Saccharomyces cerevisiae S288C: one gene and its partners. The gene in region 3 interacts genetically with the main gene of each other region. Each region holds a gene or a part of one and is shown on either strand. Other genes may lie near its edges. The genes, in order: SOK2, CLC1 and FRK1.

Evidence for each region.
Region 1: mutations in FRK1 (region 3) and SOK2 together harm fitness more than expected from each alone (negative genetic interaction), as found in Saccharomyces cerevisiae (2 studies listed by BioGRID).
Region 2: mutations in FRK1 (region 3) and CLC1 together harm fitness more than expected from each alone (negative genetic interaction), as found in Saccharomyces cerevisiae (2 studies listed by BioGRID).

What each region holds. Positions count from the first base shown.
Region 1 is NC_001145.3:302,715-307,403, forward strand, and holds SOK2 (Sok2p), read right to left. Parts: upstream 2,880-4,689; coding exon 522-2,879; downstream 1-521. UniProt on the Saccharomyces cerevisiae protein: Plays a general regulatory role in the cyclic AMP-dependent protein kinase-stimulated (PKA) signal transduction pathway by regulating the expression of genes important in growth and development. May inhibit the switch from unicellular to filamentous growth.
Region 2 is NC_001139.9:830,480-833,749, forward strand, and holds CLC1 (clathrin light chain CLC1), read left to right. Parts: upstream 1-1,976; coding exon 1,977-2,678; downstream 2,679-3,270. Other genes in the region: TRS65 (Trs65p), read left to right, coding at 36-1,718; PEX35 (Pex35p), read right to left, coding at 2,873-3,270. UniProt on the Saccharomyces cerevisiae protein: Clathrin is the major protein of the polyhedral coat of coated pits and vesicles. In yeast, it is involved in the retention of proteins in an intracellular membrane compartment, presumably the trans-Golgi. The yeast light chain is important for cell growth.
Region 3 is NC_001148.4:282,874-287,826, reverse strand, and holds FRK1 (protein kinase FRK1), read left to right. Parts: upstream 1-1,765; coding exon 1,766-4,363; downstream 4,364-4,953. Other genes in the region: putative mitogen-activated protein kinase kinase MKK2, read left to right, coding at 1-313; 60S ribosomal protein eL33 RPL33A, read right to left, coding at 4,857-4,953. UniProt on the Saccharomyces cerevisiae protein: Putative serine/threonine-protein kinase that may be involved in rRNA transcription and ribosome biogenesis.

The DNA of each region.
Region 1 (4,689 bases), on a different chromosome or scaffold from region 3:
ACCGATTCGATAAAAAATCTTTTCAAAACCGAAACATGAGCTCTCTTCAATAGCGATATAAACACCGGCAGCATATAGACGCAGGTTTGGGCTATGTTTTGTCAGCAGCGATAAAAGGTACGAGACTTCGCAGACTTAAACGAGGGAAACCTTCTCGAGAACTATGGTAACAAATATTACCCGCCCCGGAAATTGCGGAACAAATACACTGTCTCTTTACGAGTTTCTCGTTTAAAAAATCCAGGGGTGTGGGGTGTGGGCGCCCATATGCGCGAACGAGCAGCTGCTTGTGATGTTTTCCGGGGAACCTCCCACGTTCACAACCGCGCCGCGGAAATAACGAAGTTTTTACGTGTAAAGAGATTACGTCAAAGGAAAGAAGTGTTCAATGTGTCTATCTTATAGGCGTGATAGATGTCATTTATAACATGAGTCCACCTCATGCATAACGTATGTACATATATGTGGGCGGTAGGGTTTTGATTAAAGTAACATAATTATCCAAGGAATTCATAGTTGTTCTATTTTTCTTGTTTTTTTGTATCATCAGCAGCAATTTCTTCGTTGGAGACATCGCCAGCTCCATCAACTTGTGATTTGGATGACTCTGACTCCTTGACAGGTTCTGCTTCACTAGGTTCGTTCGGTTGTGTTGCTTCATCGCTTGTACTTGTTTTTATTTTGTCAGTATCCGTCGAAGTCAATGCGGAGATTGGTAATTGACTAGATCGTGGCTCCTTTAATGTTTGATTATCTGGTACAGTATTCCCACTGTCTGCTTCCTTAGACCATTTGGAATGTGATGCCGATTCAGATTCCACTCTTGGAAGGGTGATTCCTGTATGGATACTTCCCACATTTGATTCAGATGATTGATTTGTGTTTGTTGTAGTTGGAGAAGGTGTCAAAGGCTTTGAATCTGCAGGTGTAATGCCTAATGTACTTGCCGAATTCATTGTGGCGTTGCGTGGATACGATAAGGGTGAAGCTATGTTGCCCATCAGTTGTTGTTTCATCGGCATTGTTGCCGAAAGGGTCTGTAGGTTAGTTATAGTATGTCCTTCTAGTTGGTTAGAGTTAGGCATTGTGCATTTTTTCAAGGGCTTTTCACCCGCAGCGATTGTACTTACAGCTGGTATAGAATTATTGGGTATAATTTTGTTGTTCAAATTCATTGAGGAGTATGTCAGCTGAGCAGCAGATATATTTGAAGGACCATTAGGATTTTGATAGTTGTTAATAGGTTGATAATAGGTACGCGGACTGATGGATTTAATACCAGTGCTACTGCTACTACTACTGCTATCATTGCTTGGATTATTTTGTTTCAATACGCTCTGAATATCCCTGATGAACAAGGGATAAAGATAGTCAGCAATTTTTTCTCTTTGTGCTATTGCTAGGGCACGCTCAAACGGTATCCAGACACCCTTCAAATGCATGGAACCAATCTTCACCACATGCCTGATTTTTTCCGCTTTTAGAATACCATCTCTTCTACCTCTTGTCATCTTAGTTACATTCAGAAGTTTGGTACCATTAACCATATCATTATCTGCTCTTCTTACCACTGAAATACCGTTAGCTTCTACCTGATAACATAGCGTTTTTTCATCCTCCCACATTGTTGTTGTTACTCTTGGCCTTATTATACTTGCCGAAGTGCCGCTGGTGTTACTGCCTGTGGCATTGGTAGTGGCGATTAAGGGCATCGGGTGCCTTATGGTAGTTGTTTGGAAAGAATTCATGGTTTTAGCCATTGAGTCATACTGTTGATCTGACACTCCGTGCCTATTTGCAGTTAAATAAGTTTCTTGATCAGTAGAGGGTTTAACTGGTGGAGTTATAGAATTTCCATCATACAACGGGCTCACCTGTTGTTGTTGCTGAGGCGGTAGCAAACCCACTTGCGGAAGATTGTAGCTTAAAGGTCCATTTTGGCTGGTTGGACCTTGAGTTGGCGTTGTTAATGATCTTGGAGGAATTGGAGAATGCGAGTTTGGAATTGACGAAGTCTTGTGAAAACCGGGGTATTGGTAGGTGGAAGGTTGTGGATAGTTTGACATTGGAGGCTGCTGAGCTAAGGACGAGATACTATTACTATTGCGACTAGTGCGATTAGAATTGGGAGACATAGAGCCACTGGACGAATCAGAAGGTGGTCCAGATTTACTGAACTTTGAAAATGCATTACCTATCTTTGGTGGTTGGGCCGGATACGTTTGAGCTTGTAATTGTTGTTGCTGCTGGTGTTGTTGCTGTTGTTCAAAGGTTGAGTAGGTTTTTTCCAAATTGGGGTTTTGGACTTGATTACTGGTTACAGATGGTGTTGCACCGTTAGTGGTTCCATCGCCGTTTGCAGGATAATAATAATACGCTTGTGGATACGAATATGCCATTGATTGTTGGGCTTGCATTTGGGGAAAATAATAGTAGTATGGTACATTGTTACTGATATTAGTACTGTTATTGCTTTTTTTGGTGGTGATTGCAGAACCATTCGGTAACGCAGTTGCAGTAGCGTTGGAAGGAACACCTACAGACGTGGAAGGTGGATTGGAAGCATTTGAGTCAGAACCGCTACTCTGAAAGGATTCTTGAACTTGATACATCTGAGGCTGGGATTGCAGTTGCTGTTGAGACTGGGATTGCGGCTGCTGATAATATTGCGGGTACGGCCACTGTTCAGGAACTACGTATTGGTAGGATACGGGCATCAGAGGTTGAACGCTCTGGCCGAGATATTGTTGTTGTTGCTGCTGCTGTTGGGTGGACTGGCCAATAGTACTTTCGCTATTGCTCACGGCACTCATATTTGATTCCTGGCGCATGCGGTTGGACTTGATATCATTCGTATTGATTGGGTTACCGATGGGCATGACAAAAGGACCTTACCAGGGTTATATAAGGATGATTTTGTACTGTGCTTAACAAATCCACTTTCAATTTCTGAAAACAAAGATCAAAAAGGTTTTTTTTTTTTATACAATTGTGAAGTATGTTTAATGAAAACAGCACAAAATGATATCTCTCTGCTTGCAATATAAAAAGCTATGGAAAAGGATTATCAACTATACTAGAAGGCTTACACACGCACAGGCACACACAACTAATGCAAAAGATAGTGGGGAAAAACTTCAAAAACTAACAAAAAGAAGTGTTAAAGATGAACTTTTTTCTTTTGTATCGTCGGCTTGCCACATTCGATAAGTTAATAAAACACAAACGGGCAACACATCTACGTACTTTTTATGTGAAGACAAGAGAAAGAATACATCACTGATACGTGCGTCTATTGCGCAGCACTGTACTATTGCGAAGAACTGAGTGAAGGCAAAGAATGAGATGATCGATGCTTAGCCGACTGTTAAACTTACTGAGCGGTAGCCTCTACTAGTTCCTTAGTCAGATCGCACTCAACTTGGAATGTTCCGTCAGGCCCACGGAAGAAAAAGCAACAAAAGAAAGAAAAACCGGACAACATGCGGGAAAAATGCAAACTGTGTGAGGGAAAAATTAACTTTAAAGATTACATCAACGGCGGGAAAAGATCCTTCCGCAGTCCTTCTACTGCGGTTTCCCTGCAGGCACAGCTAACCGGAGGGAAGACAAGTCAAGCGGACATGCAGTTCCCGCTCAGGCTTCTTTGCAGAGAAATCGGAATATGAATTTTTTGTGTTTTTTGTTAACTTCTTTACCATTCGCATCACGGGAAGAGTGTGTTGGCATAAGAGGCGCAAGAAAAAGGTGACCCACGGTGGTGGGAAAGAGAAGAAAAAGCCGTTTGCGGAAAGCAATGTTTTGCCCATTCAGAAACAATATCTTTGCTGTATCCCTACATGTATTATGCCGCGTTGCTTGTGCAGGTACGGAGTCCCTGCACGATTTTTCAACAAGGTCTAGATTTGCTAAGACGATGAGGCGGAGCCCGAAACAAACAAGCCAAAAACCGGAATTTCGCGCTTGGTGTGCTTTCGCATCTTTTCGTGTGGTGAATGCACCTGGTGCACGCTGCGAAGGTGACGTAGCAATCCAAAAAAGGGAAGTCTAGGCGCTTTCAACCGCCCCCCACCGTGCATGCGGATTGGTTGTCACAATTCGCAGACATATTGGCAATGTTTCCTCCCCTCCTGTTGATGCGGGTAAGGGGTGTCTGTTATGCAGGAACAGGAAGGTAAAAATTAAATGGGCCTTAATTCTGTAGACACTCTCTTGGGGTAATAAGGTTAAAAGCCATTGTTGAAGTACGGAATCATCTCTTCATTTTTTCAGCGCTTGTAAGGAATTAATCCCCAGGAAGGTGCCGATGTAATGAGAGAAGTATTCTTGTTGTATCTCTTTGGTTCGGAGTATTTCCTTCTTTCTTTTCTTTGTAGTTTTTATGCAAATGCAGGGAACAGAGTACCCGGTTAAGGCTGTTAGTCAGCCGCACTCTACACAAAATTACTTGGCAAACACGTTGGTTGGGAAAAGCTTTATACTTGGCGGTGTAGTAATTGTAAAGGATCAAGATTGTGTCATGCTAATGTGCCGCTGTGTAACAACCTTTTTGAAGCGCGTATTTACCACCGGCAAAAGGCCATTGTGTCACATAAAAAAAAACTCCCGCCAAAGCCAGGTTCATTTTGCATAAGATTCACCACAGTACGGAAAATACGATAAGTTAACCAGTAATTTGCTCGCTTTAGC
Region 2 (3,270 bases), on a different chromosome or scaffold from region 3:
ATTAAGCGCAATTGATAAATCACAACTCATTGACCATGGAATGTTTTGTACCGCTGCGTTGCGACTTAGATGGAAGTAATATAGAACAGTTACGTCAATCACACTTAAGCCGTAAATTTATTATATTTGATGAGCAACTGAATCTTTGGCTGTGGTTTCAAGGTAATTCGCAAGAGAACAAGAGATTTGTACTACAGAATATGATAATATTAATAAATGAAGCGCAAGTTACCAGAACAAGCACTATCGATGATTATTTTACCCAAGTTGAGAACAATGAAAATCTATGGAGGTTGAAAAACGACTGCTGTTCGAAGATTCTTTTCAAATCAAATGTTGTTATGAATAATGGTTATAATAATCAGATCAAATTTGTCTTTGAATATAAATCTGTGGATGCAAATTTCAATAACCAGGATTCATTACAAGATCCACAGGCAAAGTATACATTAGATAAGTACTCTAGCGAGGAGATTTTGCCAAGTTTTGAGCCAGTTTATTCCTGGTCTTCTGCAGCCACCAAATCATCCAAAAATACTAATAATCATCTGGAGAAAAATAACAGGGCGACTCATCGAGTTAGTTCTAAAAATAGCGAAGTCCACGAAGCGGACGTTTCTAGAAATCCGAATACATTTACTCTTAAGCTCCAATACCCAATATTCTCACTTTTGAATATGAGATTGAGAAACATCTCCTTGAAATCTGAGCATTGCATATTATCATCGTTAGACTTTCAAACTTCTAAAGCATCCGAACAACTGACCAAAAAATTTATTTATCCGCAAGAACACAATTCTTTTCTCAAACTGAACTTTCAAGAAATATCGTATAAACTAATCGACGGAACCTCTCAAATTGAACTAGATCCAATCTGTCCTTTGAAAGTGCCACTCACTGCATTTTCATACGATAGCATTAGCGCTACTTTTAAACTGGTTCTGTTACCCAAATCAACTCAACCACATCGTGTGAAAATCACCTTAGCGTACGAACTCGAGCTGCATCCCAATCTGAAGTTACCTGTGAGAACATCATGGGAAACAGAAGTCACATTGAAGCGTTCTATGCCAATTTCCTCGACATCTTCTCAATACTCGAGTAACAACAATAATACCAATCATAGCGCTTCTTTTAATGGTGCGGCCAACAACGTTAATTCTGGTGGTTTGGCCAATCTAAGATTAGGTGGGGTTTCCTCCTCAAGATTTAGTCTTGGAGCTGCTTCGACTACATCATTGGTGAATAGCAAATTAAGCAATGTAAAATTCAAGTTTATTAATAGCAATATAAAAGTTATTAAGGGCGAAAAGTTTACTATGAGGCTTCAGATCATTAACTCGTCATCATCCCCCCTGGATCTTGTTGTGTATTATAACAATACAATAAACCCAATCCCTTCAGCTAATAACGTACGTAACAGCAATGGTATAAACAACTGTGGCATGAATAATGGGACTATCCCCAATTCGCCCTTGACACTGGAAAATCAGTACCAACTGCATAATAAATATAGAAAAATTGCGGAGGGGATTATACTATTATCCAACGATTACAAAATTCCAGTTGTACCTCCGAGAGAAACATACTTCGCGGATTTACGATTTATTGGTATTATGTCCGGATATTATGGCACTCTCTCCGGACTTAAGGTATTGGATTTAAATACAAATGAACTTATAGAAGTTGGAAATGGCGCATCTGTGTTAATCCAGTAAGCGGAACAAGTATACATTTTATTAACATAGACTACATACTAATCTGTAACATTTCTATAAAAAAGTTATTATCATCACATTACACGATAGAAACACTTCCATATTTTTTTACACTGAAAGGGGCACCTAGAAGATTAAACAACTAAACTGAAAATATACGTGCTAGAAAAAGGGTTTTACAGCTTTACTTAGGCGTTGCGAGTCACCCAAAAGAGCAGTTGAAGGACGCCGCCGTTTCACTAGATACATATATATATAATGTCAGAGAAATTCCCTCCTTTGGAAGATCAAAACATTGATTTCACACCCAACGACAAAAAAGATGACGACACCGATTTTTTAAAAAGAGAAGCAGAGATACTTGGAGACGAGTTCAAGACTGAACAGGATGACATATTGGAAACGGAGGCTTCCCCCGCCAAAGATGATGACGAAATTAGGGATTTTGAAGAGCAATTTCCAGATATCAACTCCGCAAATGGCGCAGTCTCGAGCGATCAAAATGGTAGTGCTACTGTATCTAGTGGTAATGACAATGGCGAGGCAGATGATGATTTTTCCACATTCGAAGGTGCCAATCAGAGTACAGAATCCGTTAAAGAGGATCGTTCTGAAGTTGTAGACCAATGGAAACAACGTCGTGCTGTAGAGATTCACGAAAAGGATTTAAAGGACGAGGAGTTAAAAAAGGAATTGCAGGATGAAGCTATCAAACATATTGACGATTTTTACGATTCTTACAATAAAAAGAAGGAACAACAATTGGAAGATGCTGCTAAGGAAGCTGAGGCTTTCTTAAAGAAAAGAGATGAATTTTTTGGTCAAGACAATACGACCTGGGATCGTGCACTTCAATTAATTAACCAAGATGATGCCGATATCATTGGGGGTAGAGACAGGTCTAAGCTTAAAGAAATTCTTTTGAGATTGAAAGGTAACGCGAAGGCTCCCGGTGCTTAAATGATGATGAATAATAAGAACCATAATGAACTAAGGAAGAGAAGGGGCTTATTCCCTATCATTCCCGTCATACATGAGTATCATACTTGATAGGTTCAGTAAATAACTAATTCATACTGTAAATTCATTTATCAAGACAACTATAATATAGATTATTTACAAACTTGTAAACTCTTCTCTTCTAAAAAAACACATCACATAATACTAAGCTGAAACAAAAAGAATAGTATATATTTCCCAAAGTTGCAATGCCAATACTTTTTCAAGTAAACATTAACCAAGGACTTCGCAAAGAATTTTGCGAAAAATGGGCTGATTTTCATTTTACTTGTTGGATCCACGAAGGTGAATGTAAGAAGCATCACGATGCACCGCAATTTGTTGCCCATTAATCTGCGCCTTTTCGTGACGAATAAATATTCGATACACTGCCTTAATATAGTCCATTTTAGACTTGGAAAAAAACCCTTGGTGAAATATGAATTTATTATCTTTTCGTTTATATTTGCATAATTATCATCAATTGTAACTTCATGTATTTCATTTAGTCTGTCCATTACATGCTTCAAATTTGATGAAGATATGGGCCAAT
Region 3 (4,953 bases):
AACTCTTCTGGAGGTTGCTGGAGGGAGATTTCCATTTGAATCTGACAAAATAACGCAAAACGTGGCTCCTATAGAATTATTGACGATGATCCTGACGTTTTCTCCCCAGTTGAAAGATGAGCCAGAACTAGACATATCCTGGAGCAAGACATTTAGATCTTTTATCGACTATTGTTTAAAAAAAGATGCCAGAGAGAGGCCTTCTCCCAGGCAAATGTTAAAGCATCCCTGGATTGTAGGGCAAATGAAAAAAAAAGTCAACATGGAACGGTTTGTAAAGAAATGCTGGGAAAAGGAAAAGGATGGGATATAAACTTCCAACATTTTCCTCTCGTAACCAGAACTGACTTTTTCTACAACAGGAATTCTTTAACGAGACTTCTCCTCCTTCACCATTCATAAGTTTAACGATGTTCTTTTATTATCTAGACACTCCGAAATATTCTTAACATATACGTATATAGTTTACTGAAAACCGAACTAGCCATGGGCTATGAAAGTTCTCCTATTTCCTTACTTACATCAAATAGAAATGCGCATCCAAGTCTTTCTGGCAGGCACGCTATGATGTGCTAAATTATGACTCAAGTGAGTACTAGGCGCTTTTGTACTCAGCCGCGCGGGGAAAATTTCTTCCCTCCCTACCAAAGAGGAAAAAATCATATGGCGTCATATTATCCTATATACAACGGTCGAACAAAAATCTGCTCGACTCAGAAAAATAAAAGGGTTTTAACATACTTATTGCTTACTTAAGTTACCACTTCAGTAACTGGAGCTATAAATACAATAAGCGTTTTGTACGTAGAAAATATCCTCTATATTGCCTGATTTTCTTTAGTTCCGACAAGGGCTCCGACCACGGGACAACCCTTATGATTTCTGTTATAAGGCCTATTTGTTCTAGTTACGACGACACTTACTGCTGTCTCTTGACCGTTTTTGCTATACTCATCCTCTTACCATTAAAAAAATAAAGAAAATGGACTCGAGTAAAGATGAAACCATATCTCTTTAATCACAACATACTCACTCTATGGGAGATTCTATTCTCCTTAGGTTAGTAAATGGCATTATAAATTAGCAAGCGTAGCCTCTTCAGCCTATACATCAGCTGAACCTGCACAATTAATGTCATGTGGCCGACGTAATGCATATCCATCTTTTTTACTCCCTTAAAAGAAGGTTTAGCCCCTACTGTATACTCAATGAACAGATAATGTCTATCCATAAAGTATATCATTTCAGGAACCCTAAATAATAGTGCTATCGTTACATATACTTTTAAATTTCATATTGCATTAAAATGCCGCACACCTTTTATGTAAACAAAGCCGCACTTCCTAAAAAAGCAATTGAAAACAATCGAAAGAATGAGTGTAGAACAGCAAAAAAGGTAAACAAGAGAAAAATTCTGAAACCCAGATCAACACCTGTTTCAACCCCTTCATCGATTTAAATATAATTCAAGTTCAGGTCATCGAGTAAATCTATAATAAATCAGATCACAAAATCTGGTACACTGCTGTTGCTGATCACGGTTCTTTTCATCTTTAACACATTTTCGCAGTTTTTTGACTGTGCCACATTTTGCATTAATTTGTTTCTTGTGACGTGTTTGCGAGAATTTTTTGATTGCTAATTAAACCTAACAATAATCGCTATTTTTTTTACCCATCCACAATACAAGAAAGGCGAGCCAAGCGGCGTTCAATATTCAATTGGCCATTACTTCTATATACTGATTTAGAGTGCCAAAAATTTAATGTCGTACACCAATAAACGTCATACATACTACGGAGGGTTTACCAACGATTTGTCTGACACATTTCAGTACCCTCAAAGAACAGATGAGCAAAGGCGGAAACATGTAACGTTTGGTCCTTATATCCTAGGGTCGACGTTAGGAGAAGGAGAGTTCGGAAAAGTGAAGCTAGGCTGGCCAAAGAATTTTTCAAACAGCTCTAATTCAACTTTTGACTTCCCAAAACAAGTAGCAATTAAACTTATCAAACGTGATAGCATATCGAATGATTACAGGAAAGAAGTTAAAATATACAGAGAAATCAACGCCTTAAAACACTTATCACATCCGAATATCGTAAAATTAGAAGAAGTGTTGCAAAATTCTAGGTACATTGGTATTGTCCTAGAGTACGCATGCGGGGGAGAATTCTATAAATATATTCAAAAAAAAAGGAGGCTTAAGGAAATGAATGCATGCAGGTTATTTTCTCAGCTAATAAGTGGAGTACATTACATACATTCTAAGGGACTTGTTCACAGAGATCTCAAATTGGAAAATCTATTACTAGACAAGAATGAGAACCTAGTTATTACAGATTTTGGGTTTGTCAATGAGTTTTGCTCACGAAACGAATTAATGAAGACGTCATGTGGCTCTCCATGCTACGCAGCGCCTGAACTAGTGATAAGCGCCGAACCATACGAAGCTAGAAAAGCAGATATATGGTCATGTGGAGTTATACTTTACGCTATACTAGCTGGATATTTACCGTGGGATGATGATCCAAATAATCCTGAAGGCAGCGATATAGGAAGACTTTATAATTATATTAACTCCACACCATTAAAGTTCCCTGATTATATTCTTCCTATACCTCGGGACTTATTAAGACGCATGCTGGTCTCAGACCCAAAGAAAAGAATAAACCTGAAACAGATCAAGAAACATGAATGGCTAAAGCCTCATTCTTCATTCTTATCCATAACACCTGATGAGTGGGACAAACTAAACAATACTCAATCCGTGTTCAGATTAGCAAAACCAAGAAGAAGATATGGATCTAGACCACAATCCAGTTGTTCTACCTCATCTCTTGGCTCAAGGAGTGATAAAAGGGATTCACTGGTCATTGATTCAACTTTAATTACTTTCCCGGCTCCGCCTCAAGAATCACAAAATCATATTATAACCAGACCGGCTTCTATTGCATCTGACCAGCGGCTGTCACCTATAAGAAGATCTAATAGGCACAATAGAAGTAACTCTGCTGCATCCGTTGCCTTGCAGGCAGTGGTGAACGCAGATAGGGAATATGTGTTAAGTCATGAACAATCATTATCCCCAGTACAAAACATTAGACAAACTACGGGAAACATGACTGCCAGTCTTTCACCTCCACCAGCCATAAGTCCAGGCGATATTATAATCGAAACCACACCTATTAAAAGAAATACAATTTCTGGGAGTAGTATTGTACCAAGTTTAGAAGAAGAGTCGTCTACCACAATGCAAACAAGCAAGATTCAACCAAATAACATGGCTTCATCACAAAATCATCAATACAATAAAAATAAGACCCAAAATAGTCTCCAATCTGCTAAAAATTTCTACCGTACGTCTTCCTCATCCCATACAAAGCCACGGCCAACTTCATACCATCCTGGCTCATACACAACACCTCCCTACAATTCAAATACGCTCTCCATATATGAGATCAACGAAAAAGCTAAAAGTAGCGCTTCATCACAAACGCTGAATCAAAGAGACACATCCCCATTTGATTCCACACCATACCTTGCCCTAGATACATGCATAACCTCATCCTCTTCCATCGAAAGCTCTCCAAAGTTAATTACGCACGGCCAATTTTCAGTAGCAAAACCCTCTGTTGATTTGCAAAGCGTATCTGGTGACTTGATCAAGTATAAGAGGGACGCTGATGTAGTAACGAGAATCTATGATGAAAAATACAAACAGAAGCGCAAAAGTTTGAGATATAGCGGCATATTCAGTGACATCTCATGCGATACGGTCACCGAAGAGTCTGATGAATTGAGGCCACCAGAATCTCCTCTTCAACAACATGAAGGACAAGAATCAATTGATAAGGCGAAAACGGAGGACACAAGTGAAAAGGGTAGTAAAAGTAGCAACATCGCGAAAGCTACAGCACAAAAACACGTCAATAACCATCTAGAAAGATCACTTAACGAAGCAGAGTCAACAAAGAAAAGATTTAGCTTTCTTTCCTTGTACTCTTATGATACTTCCAAATCTAGTTTATACTCATCAATGGATTCCAAACGGAAACCTTCTCCACCTTCCCAAAGACGCCCAAAAAAGGATGACAGTTATCAAACAAATTCAAAGAATCATTATATCACTGCTTCAAATATGCAAACATCCCATCAAGTCTCAAAAGACCTGCCTGCACCAACGATGGTGCAAAATAAATGTACTTTAGAAACTAAAAAAGCGGTCCGAAGCAACAGGTCCTCCATAATGGTATCTGAGGTCAACAAGGCAAGCGTAGACAATAAAGCAGCCCAAAGTCCAGAACATTCAACCGCAAAAAGAGTATTAGGGTTTTTCAAAAGAAGAAGTATGAAAATCTAGAGATAATACCTATCTCATTTGACAATAATATCCACTTATCATATGAAAAAATCAGTACTATCTGCAATTTTTCCATTTAAAATGTCTGTCGCTAAAATTTTGCGATTTGCCAGACCAACAAAATAATGTTATAATATACTTTATGAAATTTCAATCTAATAAACATTGAGCATATATATGCATATACCTACCATATATATTTTGCATTACTAAAAACATCAAAAATTTTTCTAAATTGTTACTTATTATCAATCATAGCTTCACTCCGCTTGAATCACGTCTTCTAAGCGGGAACATTGTTTCACTGCGCTTACAGCGAGATTCGCAGACATTTTAAGTAAGAAGACAATTTCTTTTGCCTTTTGTACGGAATTAATTTTAAAAATTATACTATATATATATTAGTCTTTTCTATTCTCAAAATATAATAATATTAATAGTAATAAAAGAGAAAATAACGATGTTTAATAGAGTACTTATACAATCAACAAATTTAGATGTTGGATGGGTACAAGAAGATTCTAACAGAAGCACCGAAGGTCTTGGCTGGCAAATTGTTTCTGAAGGTGGCTCTAACGACACCAGAGTTA